Linked DNA regions of Cricetulus griseus. The protein of the gene in region 2 interacts with the protein of the main gene of each other region in a pairwise test. Links are inferred from orthologs where the notes say so. Each region holds a gene or a part of one and is shown on either strand. Other genes may lie near its edges. The genes, in order: Gcsh and Nmi.

Region 1 (7,447 bases), on a different chromosome or scaffold from region 2:
AAAAATTGGTTTTATGTATGTGAGGGTTTTGTCTGCATGTGTATATATGCACTACATGTATGCAGGCTTCATGGAGGCTAGAAGTGATGTCAGATCTCCTGAAATTGGAGTTAAAGATGGTGGTACTGGGACCCAAAGCCAGGACCTCTGGAACAGCAACCAGTGCTCTTAACCACAGAACCATCTCTCAGCCCCAAGAACATGTATCTTAAATGGAACACCTTGTACATCCCTGGGCTTATCTGTTTTAACATCAGTCTAAATCACTCAAAATTTCAGAGCATATTTCCTGAATTCATTCTATAACTATAGAATGTTCAAGGTCTGCCTTGAACAAAGAACTTTATTCTTTTGAAGACAGGTTTGGGGTAATGGATTTGGGGAGGCAGCACAAAGAAAGTGATGCATACCAAGAAGTATACAGCTGACTCATCTAAATACCTGGGCTGAGCTGGGAAGATTGCAAATTCAAGGCCAATCTGCAAAGTTTAACTGCACACAATGGCATATGCCTGTAACTCAGCCCTTAGGAGGTTGCAGCAGGAGGATCATGAGTTCAAGACTATTAAGATTGCCTGAAGAGATGACTCAGCAGTTAAGAGCACTGGCTACTCATCCAAAGGAACTTGGTTCAACACCCAGCATTCACACAATGGCTCATAACCATCCTTAACTCCAGTCTCAAAGGAACTGACTTCTTGTGGCCTCTACAGGCACTGCATGTACATGATACACAGATATAACTGCAGGCAAAATACCTGTACATATAAAAAGAATAAAGTAACATTAAGATGATATCAAACAGAAAACAACTTTTGAAGGACTGGGGATGTAGCTCAGTAGATGTTGACTTGTCTACCATGGGGGCTCTGGTTCATTCCACTAATGGGGGAGGGGGATAGATTTACACAGGGCACAGTGACCTATAACTGAAATATTCAGAAGGCCAAAGCAGGAGATCTGTTGAGTATGAGAGTTTAAGGGAGCTTGGGCAACACAAGACACTGTCTCAAAAGAAAAAAAAAATTTGAGGCTGGAAAGATGGCTCAGCAGTTAGAAGCATGTGTTCCTCTTTTTTTTTTTTAATTTATTTTTATTTTATATGCATTGGTGTTTTCCTGCATGCTTTATCTGTGTGAAGATGTTAGAACTCCTTGAACTGGAGCTACAGACAGTTGTGAGCTGCCATGTGGGTGCTGGGAATTGAACCCAGGTCCTCTGGAAGAGCAGCCAGTGCTCTTAACTGATGAGCCATCTCTCCAGCCCTGCATGTGCTCTTCTTGCAGAGGACCTGGGTTCAGTTTCCAGCACTTACATGGTGGCTCACAACTACCTACAACTACAGTTTCAGTAAATCTCATGGTCCTCTTCTGACCTCCAAGGGTATCAGGCACCAATGTGCACAGACATACACTCAGGCACAACACCTATAACATAAATCCTTAAGATATAAAAACCAGCCAGGCAGTGGTGGCGCATGCCTTTAATCCCAGCACTCAGGAGGCAGATACAGGGGGATCTCTGTGAGTTTGAGGCCAGCCTGGTCTACAGAGTAAGTTCCAGGACAGATTCTAAAGCTACAGAGAAACCCTGTCTCAAAAAACTAAAAAGATATAAAAACCAAACGATGTAACCTAAAAAAGGCAATGTGGCTCTTAAGGTAGAGTTGGCTCAGGATACTGCAATTTAGTTCTAAGGACTGAGATGGACTTCCTACAATTGTAACTTGGCCAAGTTCTTAAAATTCTTCTTTCATTTAAGCCTGTCCTAGAAGAAAATGGCTCCCGTTGTTTAAAGAAGATAACTGGGGCCTGGAGCTCAGTGGAAGAGTGCTTGTCAAAGCCTTTGCTTCAGTTCCCAATACTACTAAAAACTAAAGGAAAAGAAATTTGGGTCAAAGATGATGTATAGCTATGTGTCTGCAGTACTCAACTTTCATTCTCTTAAAAGTCTAGAGTTCACTGATTACATTACCAATCACGAGCAGCTCAAAACCATAGTGTCTGACTATAAGGGGCGGACAGTTACAAATATGTATCACCCTGCTAATGTTGACTGTCTACACTTTGGCCTCTACTTTGCAGCTGTCGGTTGAGCCAGCAGCATTCTCAGCTCAGCATACCTAGGTCCACTTGACCTCAAAGTCCATTATCATCCTTTAGACCAGTCAAGCTACCTAGGCTAACCACAGTGTGATTCCAGTTCTCCATTAACCCTTGACCTGACTCAAAAAAAAGCAGATTAGGTAAATAATTACTTTCTTGCTAAGCCTTGAAAAACATGGTTTGAGGACTGGGAAAGTGGCTTAGTTGGTAGGGTACTTGCCTATTACTGAGGTAGCTCTGGGATCAGGCCCTAGCACTGCATAAACTGAGTGTGGTGGTGCTTGTCTTTAGTCCCAGCAATGTCAGGAGGATCAGAAGTTCAAGGTCATTCTTGGGCTACACAGGAGTCTTCCAACTAAACTGAGATCATGCCTCAGGGAGCAGAAATAAAACCCACCATGGTTTGAGGCCTCAGAAAAACTGAGCTGTAAATGAGGGAAACCCTTCCAATTCTCAAACACAAATCTATTTTATCTAATATGGCTCAGTGTTATGTGTACATTTGGTTATGAAATACACAGTAATATTTAATAACACTATTCAGTGACAGGACCTTCATTCATTTCTTCCTCCCAGTAACTCTGAGGTAGCTACTTCCTCCACTGTTCTAATGCAGGACACTGGGGTTCTGAGAAGTTGAGAGACTGGGCCCAAGACCACACAGTTGTGAGAGGAAGAACCAGGATTGTGAGCTTTTCCAAGTGAAGGGCCTGCACCCTGCAAAATAAGTGTGCACAATTCTGCCAGTTACAAGAGGGTAAAAATGAAAACCCGAGTAGTTAGGCAGACCATGGGAATTGATATTTTGGGCAATATTTAACTAACAACCTGGAACTCAATGTAGCTCAAGCTGGTCTGGAACTCAGTGATCCTCCACCTCAGGAGTGCTGACATCGTTACAGGTGGGAGCCACTCACCATACCTGGTCTGAAATGGAGTTATCTGAGCAGTGCTCTTCCCTTGTATTCTAGTCAGCAACACACCTCTGTGTTGCTGTGTCACAAACAATAGAAAAATTTTAGCAAGAAAGAAGCAAACTTTGCACTCCACACTGAGGAATAACGTGATCAACATTTTGAATTCGCACAGATTTCTGACCCAAAAGACTTGCTGAGAGCAGTCGTTCAGATTTGTGCTGTCTGAATAGGGATCGTACAAAGGGCAGCTAGGGTCTCCACTATTTGCACATAAAGAAAGAAAACTGTTTCCCAGCTAACTATGCGAAGGCGTATAATGGGCATGTCTCCCAGTTATTTCCAGTCCGTCAAATTAGGCTCTTTTCAGCCCCAGTACACATCAGTGACTCAATTACAGACGTTATCAGAACTTCTCTGAAGTCTAGAACACTTTCCCTTGCTTTCTGTAGTTCACAGCAACGCCATGCTTGGCTTTGCGGGGGGTGGGGGGGTAGTAAAAAGCTTTTATTTCTGCATTTTGACTTTTCTTTCATTTATCTGTGCGTGCACTCAGTGCTAAATTTTAGTAGGTGCTTCTGCCTAACAGTTCCCTGTTATGATTCATTTAGTTAAGCACTCCACATTTGGGGTCTCCGTGCACCCACATGTAAGTCACTCCTGCAAGAGTGGTCGGGTTATCTGCAGGTCCAACGGGCCTTCCCTCCTAGCTCCACCCCGGGGGCAAAGTTTGCTCGTGTCCTCTCGAGGGAGGGAGAAGGGCCGCAGAACCAGGATCCCAAGAGCAAGAAGAAGCGCGGACAGAGCTACAGCTCACTCGTCTCCGGGAGGCTGGACCACGTGCCCCTCACTTACCCGACTGGACAGCCGATCCAGTGCTCAGCGCGCGGACGGCGGCGGCGCTCGGCACCCAGGGCCCCGGTGGGCAGGAGGCCACGGCGGTGCGCAGACTGCAGGCCACGGCCCACGCGCTCCTAGCCACTCGCAGCGACATGATCAGAGTTGCTGGAGTAACCGCACTGCGCCTCCGCCACCGGGCGGGCGCTAACCGGGCGGGCCAGAGTAAGCGGAGCCCGGGGCCCGGGGCGGAGCTCGGGCAAGATGCTCTCTGATTGGACAGCTCGAAGGTTCCACTTCAGATAGGACAAGGCGCGCGAGGGGGTGTGCGCTTGTTGAGGAGCCGAGGCCCGGATGGGGCTGTGTGCGGGGCGCGGAATGGCTGGGCGGAGAGGGGCGGGGCCTCGCCGAAGGGCGGAGCCTCGCGCCTAGAGTGGGATCTTGTGAAAGCAAGCACTGGGTCGGCAATCTGTGCATTCCTCAGTGGCCAGAGAAAGAACCCAGCAAGGATGTCTTTGCTGGGCTAACGCAGTCTCATGCCATTAAGTCAAAAAGTCCTAGGGAAGACGAGGTCCCGCCAGGCCCAGTAAAGCACAGCCACGCCCATCTGCACAAGGTCACCCGCAAGGGGATTCATTTCATCTGAAGATCAGTGGTAGGCATCTGACAAAGTCATTCTGACACAGATCGTATAAGTTTTTAAATGCTGAAAACAACCCAGGAAGCCACTTTATTACTTTACAGATGCCAAGAGGGCCAGAGACTCTTAAACCCAAGGGAAATAGAGAATAACACAATTTATGCGGGCCTTGTACTACCTTTGATCACAGCACCCTGGAGATGGAGACAGGAGAATCAGGAGTTTTCAGCCCATTCATTGCTCCTTAGCAGCCATGGGAATGAACCTGGGTCCTCTGCACTAGCAGGAGCAGTGAGTACTCTTAACCACTGTCTCATTTCCCAACCCCGTAAGATTTTTTGTTTGTTTGTTGTTTTGTTTTTTTAGAGAAACGTTGTTTAATGGTAAGGCTTAGCACACTCCAGCACCAGCACAGGCATGGAGTCGAAGCAGCAGGGATGGCTGGCTGGCCCCATGGAGCTTCATGTGGCTAAGAGGATGAGGAAGGTGACCATCAAACAAAAGAGCCCCATGGCCTCAGACAGGGCAAAGCCCAGAATGGCATAGAAGAGCTGTTGCTTGAGAGACGGGTTCCTGGCAAAGCCACTAATCAAACTACCAAACACTGTTCCAATGCCAGCCCCTGATCCAACCACACCAACTGTGGCAGCCCCAGCACCAACCAATAAACTTAGCAGCTGTGTCAATGTCCTAGGAAACAACACTGGTCTGGAATTCCCATCTGGCCATCTGGAGAGAGGAGCGGCTGCAGGAAGGCTGTTTAGATGGGGCCTCTGGTCTACTCAAGAGGGAGGCAGGCAAACTCCTGATTAGACCTGTGGTATTGGAGCTGATCAGAACTGGAGTAACGAGCAGTGCCTTGATGGTCTGCATTTTTCAATTTCCCAGCTGTAGCCCTTAGTCTCAGCCCCATAAGAAGATTTTTAATATACAGCAAGAAAGTAGGTGTTGTCCATCTCAGGGTTGATAATCCAGTCAGAGACCCCCATTCCTTACTGGGCACAACTTGGCTTCTCTAAACTCTTTACTATCAAGGGAAATGGATTGTCATTACCAAGACAAAACAGGATTTACTTGGAGGTGGCTGCAGAAGTCCTGCAAGAGAAGGGGGACAGGGCTCCCTGAAAAAGGGTCAGTTTTCCCTTAGCAAAGAGGAGAGCATGGGGTGGGTTTGGGGTAGGGAATCCACAGGGTGTCTACAGTGGATCAGGAAAGAGGGGGACAAGACATGCTTAGAAGCTGTGTTAGATCCTTAGCCTGGGCTGCTGGTGGGGTGGGGGTAAGAGTTAGACAAACTCCTTTTGTTAGACCCCCGAAAACTCAAGTATCCGGGGTCCCAGGTCATGTTCGAGGTCACCCCAATCACCAGGCGGATTCGAGAGCTTGATGCAAACTGCACGAGGCTTTATTGTAATTTAACGAGCTAACCCCATGTTAGCTCGGGTCTTTCACCCACCCGCCATGGCGGACGGCTAGCAAAGACGGCTCCTAGGGTCTCCCAAAAGATCTTATAAGGCAGCGTAAGGGGAGTGTCTAGGGGTACGCACAGGCTCACGATTGGTGTGCCTCCAGGCTTGGAGGGCTTGCCCTGTGTTGATTGGTCAACTGGTTGTTATGGCCCATAGGCCCTCCCAGGGTGGTTGCTATGCTCTCTACGTCATTGCTGTGCGCTTGTCCGTAAAGCACACCCAGGGTCGTAAAGCATAGCGCCACCAGCTAACTTCTGATTGGCTCCTTGTCACGAGACAGGCATCTGACCTCTAAGTGACCAAGGCAGGTTTATGGCAAGCACGTGTTCGGCTGTTATGGCTGCCAAAAGGGAAGCTGGTTCCTTCACTTTGTGGGGCAGACAGGAAGAGGGGCCATGACTAGGTAACAAAGGTGGTAAGCTTCCATGATAAGCCCCTTTTTTTCCTCACCCTCCTGACCTGAGACAAAAGCCTGGCAACTTAAAACAAAGGCCTTGTGGACTTTTCTCCTACCAGCATGCCATGCTCCCCTTGCACCACCCCACTCACTCACCCATCCCCCATCCCCCCAACCCTGTCCTCGTCCCTGCACCCATGGGGTGGCTCAATAAATTCAAGGCCACATCAGGATGCTTTTATACAACAGTTGTGGGCCATCCTGTCTTTTTCAAAATGACCAACCCTATAGGAAGACTCTTCAGAGACAAAAACAAACAGCAAACAGCCCTCAAGAAGAGACTAGAGCTCTGGGCTTCCCGAGTCCCTCCTTTACAGAGGCTCTTTTTCTCTGTGTATCTGCTAATGCCTGTGCCCCCACCCCGATAAAAAAAAGCCTTTCAACTGCTGATTTCTGTCTGCTCCTGTTTCCTGTGTTCAAGATTTCTCAGATGCCACCTGTAGAGATTTTCTTCCTGCCTTTTAATTATTTAACAGTGAAGACAGACCCCCTAGAGGAGCTGGCACACATATTTGATCCCATTATGGGGAAGCAGAGGCAGGCTGATCTCTGAGTTCAAGGTCAGCTGTACAGAGTTCCAGGACATCCAGGGCTATACAGAGAAATCCTGTCTCAAGAAAACAAAACAAAAACAAAACCATAGACAGTAATAGTGTTCTTCCTGTTTGTTTCTTGTTTTTTGATTTTTCTGAGACAAGCTTTCTCTACATTATAGTCCTGGCTGCCCTGGAACTCGATTTGTAGACCAGGCTGTCCTCAAACTCACAGAGACCTGCCTACCTCTGCCTCCCAAGTGCTGGGATTATAGGTGTGTGCCACCACTGACAGGCACTTTTCTTGTTTTTTTTTAAACTCAATTTGTCGTTCTTGGTCCCAGAACAGACAGCTAACCAGACAGCTATTAGCATTTGAAGGAATTCTGAGAGTAATTCAAGGCAACTGCCAATAACCAAACCAGTGAATTAATTGTTCTGTAGAGAATATTCTTTTCCACATATGTGTATTTTATTTCTAGGAGGAAATGC
Region 2 (6,947 bases):
GCTTATACACAGATGCACATACACACTTCAATTTAAAGATATTTATTTTTAGTGTCATTTTAAAATTGGATGTGCTTATGTGTGTCTGTATGTGCATGGACTGGGGTCCCTTTATGAGCCACTTGATTTGGGGCCTGGGAACTGAGCCTGGGTCTTCTGCTAGATGAACGGACTGTTAGGTACAGAGTACCGCCTCTCCATCCCCATACTTCTCAGCTGTAGGAGTCTGAAGGTTTCCCAGGGTACAGTAAAGGCGCTTGCTGAGAGCTGTCTTCCTTCTGTCCTGGAAGCTCTTGGGATGAATCCCTCTCCTTTGCTTGGCTCAGCATCCTTCTGTCATCTTCAAAGACAGTATCAGCATTACTTCTCTGATTATGTCTCTGCCTCATACTCAGTCTAACTTTTGTGTTGTTCCCTCTTTAACTCAGTCCTTCTGGATTAAGTTGAGTTTTCGTGAACAATGTAGGATGTTGTCCATATTTTATTCATTTATTATTATTATTTTTTTTGTGTGTGTGCATGTGTGTACATACTTGGGCATGTACCTGTGGAGCTTAGAGATGGAAGTCTGGTATCCTCTTCTACTTTGCTGAGTCAGGGTCTCTCACTGGACCTGCATCTTCCTGATTGGCCAGGTTGGGTGACATCATCACACCTTGTTTTCTATGTGGGAGGCCAGGATGGAAGGTACCAGTACTTACCCAGTAGGCACTTTCCCCCTGAGCCATCTCCCCAGCCTCTATGTCCATATTTTAAAGACAGACAATCAGCATCCTGAATTGGGTTTGCAGCCTCAAATCTCTACGATCTTGCTCTTGCTATTCACACTATGCTCTCGATTCTCTGTCTCCTGCTATTCTCTCCTCTCTCACAGATAGCCCTGGCTATGTCCAGTCTGCTGACCGTGTTCAGTCTACTTCCTCTCTCTGCTCTGGACTCTTCCAGATGCCTCTAGATGTTTTCTCTTGTTCATAATAAAGACCTTAACCATACCATGGAGCAGTCATGTTGGCAGGTCCTTTAATGAGCCTCGCTCCTGCTCCTATGCAATTAGGGAAGTGAAATTCTTCAAAATACAGACGATGTTTGGCTGTAAGTCACATGACAAGACTTAGATGATAGAAAAAAAAACAATACAAAGCAAAGAAGGCATGTTTCTTGCACAAAAGGGTAAAATCTGTATTTTCTTTTTTTTTCCTTGAATTTGTGTTGTATATGGTTGTAAAAGCACCCCCTTTTACTAGAAAATCATGGATGCTGATACTGACAACAAAAAGCACTCACCAGAGAAAGAAGTTATGAAAACTGAACAAAATGAGGTAAAATTATTAGTAGATGCTGTTAAGAATGATTTGTGCCTTTTTTTGTTTGTTTGTTTGAGATAGGGTTTCTCTGTGTAACAGTTCTGGCTATCATGGAACTTATTTTGTAGACCAGGCTGGCCTTGAATTCACTGAGATCTGACTTCCTCTGCCTCCCAAGTGCTGGGATTAAAGGCATGTGCCACCACTGCCCGGCTGTGCCTGTTCATTTTTAAGTAACATGCACTTTTTGTCTGTGCTAAATATTACCTTGGCATTGTAAGGCTTTGGGGCTTTTCTAAAGATCCTTACATTTGTTGTATTGTAAAACTTTATACTAAGAGTTGTGTTCCAATGTGTTTTCTTAAAAAATTAAGTGTTTTCTCACCTTCTTTTTTGGGTTTATAGCAGCAAGTGAAATGTGAGCAATTACCTAATGAGACCCAAGTGGGAACAGAGGCCCAGGTGCTCAGAGATGTTAGCAAGGCATATGTTTCGTTGTCAAAGCAGTTGACTACTCTTGGAATCATTGCTAATAAACAGAGAAAAAAAAAAACCACCAATAACCCCACCTAAAAATAAAACAAACAAATAGAAAACAACAACAACAACAACAAAACCAATAAAAAACTGCCTCAGTGTAATGTGTCCACAATTACAGTGCAATTGAAAGTCATATTATAGTTACAGATAGCTTAGAAAGGAGAATTTAACTAAGTCCAGGAGGTCTGAGTCTCTCACTCCTTGCCTTAATTGTAAAATATTCTGTATCTAATGTGGAAGACAACACTTTCTTTGATCATGTAATAGAGCTAAAGAATCTTGGTAGGATTAGGAGAACTGCCAGGGCCTGGAGAGATGACTCAGCAGTTAAGAGCACTGCCTGTTCTTTCAGAGGACCTGGGTTCAATTCCCAGCATCTACATAGTGGCTTACAACTGTCTGTAACTCCAGGAGATATTAGCCTTTTACGCAGACATATATTTGGGAAAACACCAATGCATATGAAATAAAAAAAAGTCATTAAAAAAAAGGCGAAGAGCCATCGGGCAATGAAGTAAGTGCACTCTGAAAGTAGGCATATTTATTCTGAGGCTGTCCTAAGGCTTCCTAGGTTTGGGGTGGGGGAATTTGCATCTTTAATTAATCTAGAAAAGGCATCTTGAAGGTGGTTAATTTTTTTCTATTATTTGGTGTTTTTTAGGGATTAATTCATGAAATTATGAGGGAAAACTTGCACCTGGAACAGGAGATCAAAAAGCTTGAAGCAGAGTTATGTTCGGACGCCAGAGAATTCCAAGTACTGTGATTATTTTATGTATATTTTAATGGACATGTACTTTTCAGAAAAATGATTTAGTTATACATGATTAACTCTAAAGCATTATAGTCACTTATAACACCAGTATTCATTTTTGTTTTTGAGAGCAGCTCTTGCTGGTCTTGAGCTCATTATGTAGGCCATACTGACCTCAAGTTCATAGAGATCTACCTGCCTCCATCTCCTGTGTACCGGCTTTAGAGGAGTGCACTGCCATGCCCAGCTTGGGCTACTGTTTGTAATAGCCCCAAATGGAGAAAAATCCAAGTGTTCTTCCATAGTCGAATGAATGATAAATTACTGTGTAGCTGTACAATTAAATTCTACACCAAAACAAGAACAATTATATACAACATGCATGAATGTAACAAATATGACATCGATACATAAAAATCAATGAAGGGCATTCTGTATGTTCCTATTTGAATAAAGCATGTTCTGAGTTATATAGTGGTTCACACGGGAGGCAGGCCTCCCTTGAGAAACCAGGACTTCAATGATAAGTGAGGTAAGTTTCAAGCTGTGTATCAACATTTGTTGATATTGATGATTTTAAACAGGTAACTACAACTACTCACTTTTTCCCTGGTAGGTTACAATTCTTGTTGATAGTGTTTTCTTCATTGTTGTATAAATTTAAATTATGAAAATGATTAAAAAGATGATAGGTAGGTCAAATGTGGTGACATCAGTAATTTCAGCACTGAAGAGGCTGGTGTAGGAGAATCTTGAGTTCAAGGACAGCCTGACTAAAAACAAAACAAAAATCAAACAAACAAAAAACCCACTAACGTTCTTGGGAGATTTGGGTGAAATTGGAATTTAATGCTGTCAGTTTTCATATCATGTAGCCTCAGTAGTCTTAGGGGAAAAAAAGAAGCTATCTGGTTTTGTCATAAAAAACAAACAAACAAACAAACAAACCAAAATCACTCGTGGTAGAGAGTTCTTGGTCCTAGATGGGACAGCTATATTACCGGATCCAGGCTCAAGCAACATTGGTGAACACAGGATGGGAAAAATGTAAGAGGATAGGCATATGAGCAGTAAACAGATGTCTTCTGGAAGATGCGATGGGATATAGCTGTCTGTATGAACTTGGACCTGCCAACATTTCACCATCTATGGGGGAAGGGCCCATGAGGCTTCATCCCTCCCTGAGAATATATTGACTGTTAATGGCCGCTGGGGGAGGGGAAGTCATTTTCCCTCCTGGTGTGGCCACTGAGAAGTTGTCTCCTCCATTAAGAAACCCCCCCCACCCGTGGATGGGGTGGGGGGTAGGTTGGAGGTGGGGGAGAAGGAATGGGGGTAAGGGGAGGGAAAGGGAGAGGGAGAGGGGAATTACATGTGAAACAAGCCTGTTCCCTAACTTGAATTAATAATAATAAAAAGAGAGAGAGAAAAAAAGCCAAAACAAAGCATTATGAAAAAAAAAACAAAACAAACAAACAAAACAAAACAAAAGAACCCCCCCACCCATGCTCAGGCAGGAAACTAATCAGACACCATGGGTCACACACAAGATGTGAAAGGAAGGATAGTTATGTTAAAGAAAAGATTTCGTCAGTAGAGGCAAGTGAAATGAGAGAGGGGGAATAAGGATGAAAATTACTAAAATTCATTGACTTATGCATGAAACTGTGAATGAATAAAAGAAAGCTCAGCATACACAGCTTGAAACTTACCTCACTTATCATGCATCCTTGCCATGAAACTAAACATAATTTCTAATAATTTCTTCCTGAGTTTGTGCATTACTGGCACAGTTACTTAAAAGGCACTGGAGACAGATTTTTCTTTGGGCTGCCAACACACACACACACACACACACACACACACACACACACACACACACACACAAAACCACGGAGACATTATTAATTATGAAAGGTTGGCTTATAGCTTAGGCTTGTCCTACTAGCTCTTATAACTTAAATTAACCATTTATATTAATCTACGTTTTGCCTCGTGGCTTTTACCTGTCTCCCATCTTGTACCTCCTGTTTCCTCTCTGTGTCCTCTGGCATCTCTCTCACACCTAGATTCATCCCCTTCTCTTCTTTCTCTGCCAGGAAGTCCTACTTAACCTCTTTTTGCCCAGCAATAGGTCATTCAGCTCTTTATTAAACCAATCAGAAGGCACCTTGGCAAAGACACATCTTTACAGCATACAAAAAGATTGTTCCACAACAAGGCACTGATTTACATAAATGGTGGGGATTTGGAATTGGATACCGAACAATATTGATCAGCTTAAACATGGGTTAGGGAAAGTGAGCTGATTTTATACTTATGATTTCATCTATAAAATGATATTAAAAGATCAGCAGTTGATTACCTTACTGAGAAACTGCCTGTGAAGAAGCAATTTCTATAGATGGTAAGCAAGAGTACAGTCAATGTACTTAAAGCTCTATAGTCAGTGGAGATCGAATAATTGGATGACTAGATTGGGAGGACTTAAGTTATTTCTTGTCTTGATTTTAATCAAACACATCTGTTTTAATTAGATTAAAGAGAATATACCAGAAAGAAATCTTAAATTCATCTCAGTGGAGAGTTCGGAGCATGATGACCGGTTCTCAAATAGTTGCTGTTCATTTCAAGTGAGCTCACAAATTTCTTATGAGATCCAGAAGGGACAAGCACTTATCACCTTTGAGAAGGAAGAAGGTATGATCTTAAAAACATGATTGTCACTTTTGCAAGCACCTGGACTTTCAAAGATCTTCTGGAGTTGTCTGGCTGCCACTTTACAATCTGTGTTTGCTGTTTCTTCTTGTCCTCATGGTGGTGTTCTGAGGCAGATGTGACTGATAGTCTCAATTTACAGAGAAGGAAACCAGGCATTAAGTATATTAGATATGTTAGGTCTATTGCCTACAATATATAGTGATGTAATATCTATAATGTATAATATTATATATACAATGATGTGGAGTACTGACAATGCTATGTGCGCGATGATATTAAAGGATCCATGTTTATCACACATTCAAAAAGTAATGGCTCAGGAAATGTAAGAGTTGCGATGTCCAATGTCAGCTTCTTTTTAGTACCTATGTCCCTTAAAATAAACATATTGTGACATTATAATAACATAAAGAAATAAAACTTCCAGAGCGAGTGCCAGGATAGGCTCCAAAGCTATGCAGAGAAACCCTGTCTTGAAAAACCAAAAAAAAAAGTAGAATTTGCTAGGTATGGTGGTGCACAGCTTTAATCATAGTGTTCAGGAAGCAGGAGCAGAACTATCTCCATGAGTTTAAGGCTACTGTGGTCTACATAGTTTCAGGCCAGCCAGAACTACATAGTGAGACCTTATCTCAAAAAAAAAAAAAAAAAAGAATGAATAAAGTGTTAGAAGTAAAAAAAGTAGCAGACTTTACTTCTCCGGGTGTTCTCTGGGACATCTAGTTTCATACTTACACAATTCTGTAATTTTGTGTATTTGATTGGTAAGGAAACAGATTCTGAGGATAGTTAAGTGATTTAGTAAATTAATTACTCTGTTATTGGATTGAGTCCAGGAATAGAAAGGTTTGGGATGGGACCAGATGTTGGCCAAGTCCAAAACTGTATGAGCCCTTCAGGGCTTGGCTCCTTTGTGAGGACGATTTGAGGGCCAGCTTTGTCTCCTCTGGAAGGCATGATCTGAGTTCTTTGTAAGCCTCAGATTTTTGTGACAGGCTTTGTGATAATTCCAACTTCATAAGCTGTTTGTGTATTAAATGACAGCTGTGCATTGAATGCACACAATCAACATACCTGTGTCAGCTGCTATGGTTGCTGTTTGTGTGAGGGGTTTCCCAGACAAGGAAACAGAAGCCTAGAGAAGAGTTTCCTTTGCTGAACTCCAGAGCTGACAGGGTCCCCTAAGTGCCTGTGCGTGTCCTCCTGGACCAACGTTCCTGAGGGCAGGCTTTGGTTCTGGCAACGAAATGCTACAGGATGGGTCAACATGGTCTTCAGGACCATTTCAGGCTTCTTGAGTCTTAGAACCTGTGATTTTATCTGTGTCTTCTGGCATCTGGCCCATCACACTGGCCACAGTTGAGGGAAGTCTTGCTGGCAATGGGCAGTTAGACTGGCATGTCACTGGGAGCAGGTTTCTATGTGGCAGTCACTGCATAGCAGTCACCTGGACTTTCTGGGATTAGGAGTTACTTCAGAAGCAGCCTTAATGTTGCTTGTTCCCTTGAGTCTGAAGTCCCCACACCAGGACGCAGCTCCAGGGGAACAGAAGTAAACAGGATTTACTTTGACAGTCATAGCAACTACAGTTGGGATACAAGTGGGCCCCTCTCTGTTGAGTCAGATCA

Evidence for each region.
Region 1: the proteins of Nmi (region 2) and Gcsh interact in binary tests that used the Homo sapiens proteins (3 or more experiments, as listed by UniProt). The two-hybrid records come from large-scale screens. The link is inferred for Cricetulus griseus from reciprocal best matches to the Homo sapiens genes NMI and GCSH.

The regions. Positions count from the first base shown.
Region 1 is NC_048596.1:193,602,862-193,610,308, forward strand, and holds the start of Gcsh (glycine cleavage system H protein, mitochondrial), read right to left. Parts: upstream 4,104-7,447; 5' UTR 4,014-4,103; coding exon 3,875-4,013; intron 1-3,874. UniProt on the Homo sapiens protein: The glycine cleavage system catalyzes the degradation of glycine. The H protein (GCSH) shuttles the methylamine group of glycine from the P protein (GLDC) to the T protein (GCST).
Region 2 is NC_048599.1:122,378,895-122,385,841, forward strand, and holds part of Nmi (N-myc-interactor), read left to right. Parts: intron 1-1,228; 5' UTR 1,229-1,250; coding exon 1,251-1,319; intron 1,320-2,505; coding exon 2,506-2,601; intron 2,602-5,135; coding exon 5,136-5,298; intron 5,299-6,947. UniProt on the Homo sapiens protein: Acts as a signaling pathway regulator involved in innate immune system response.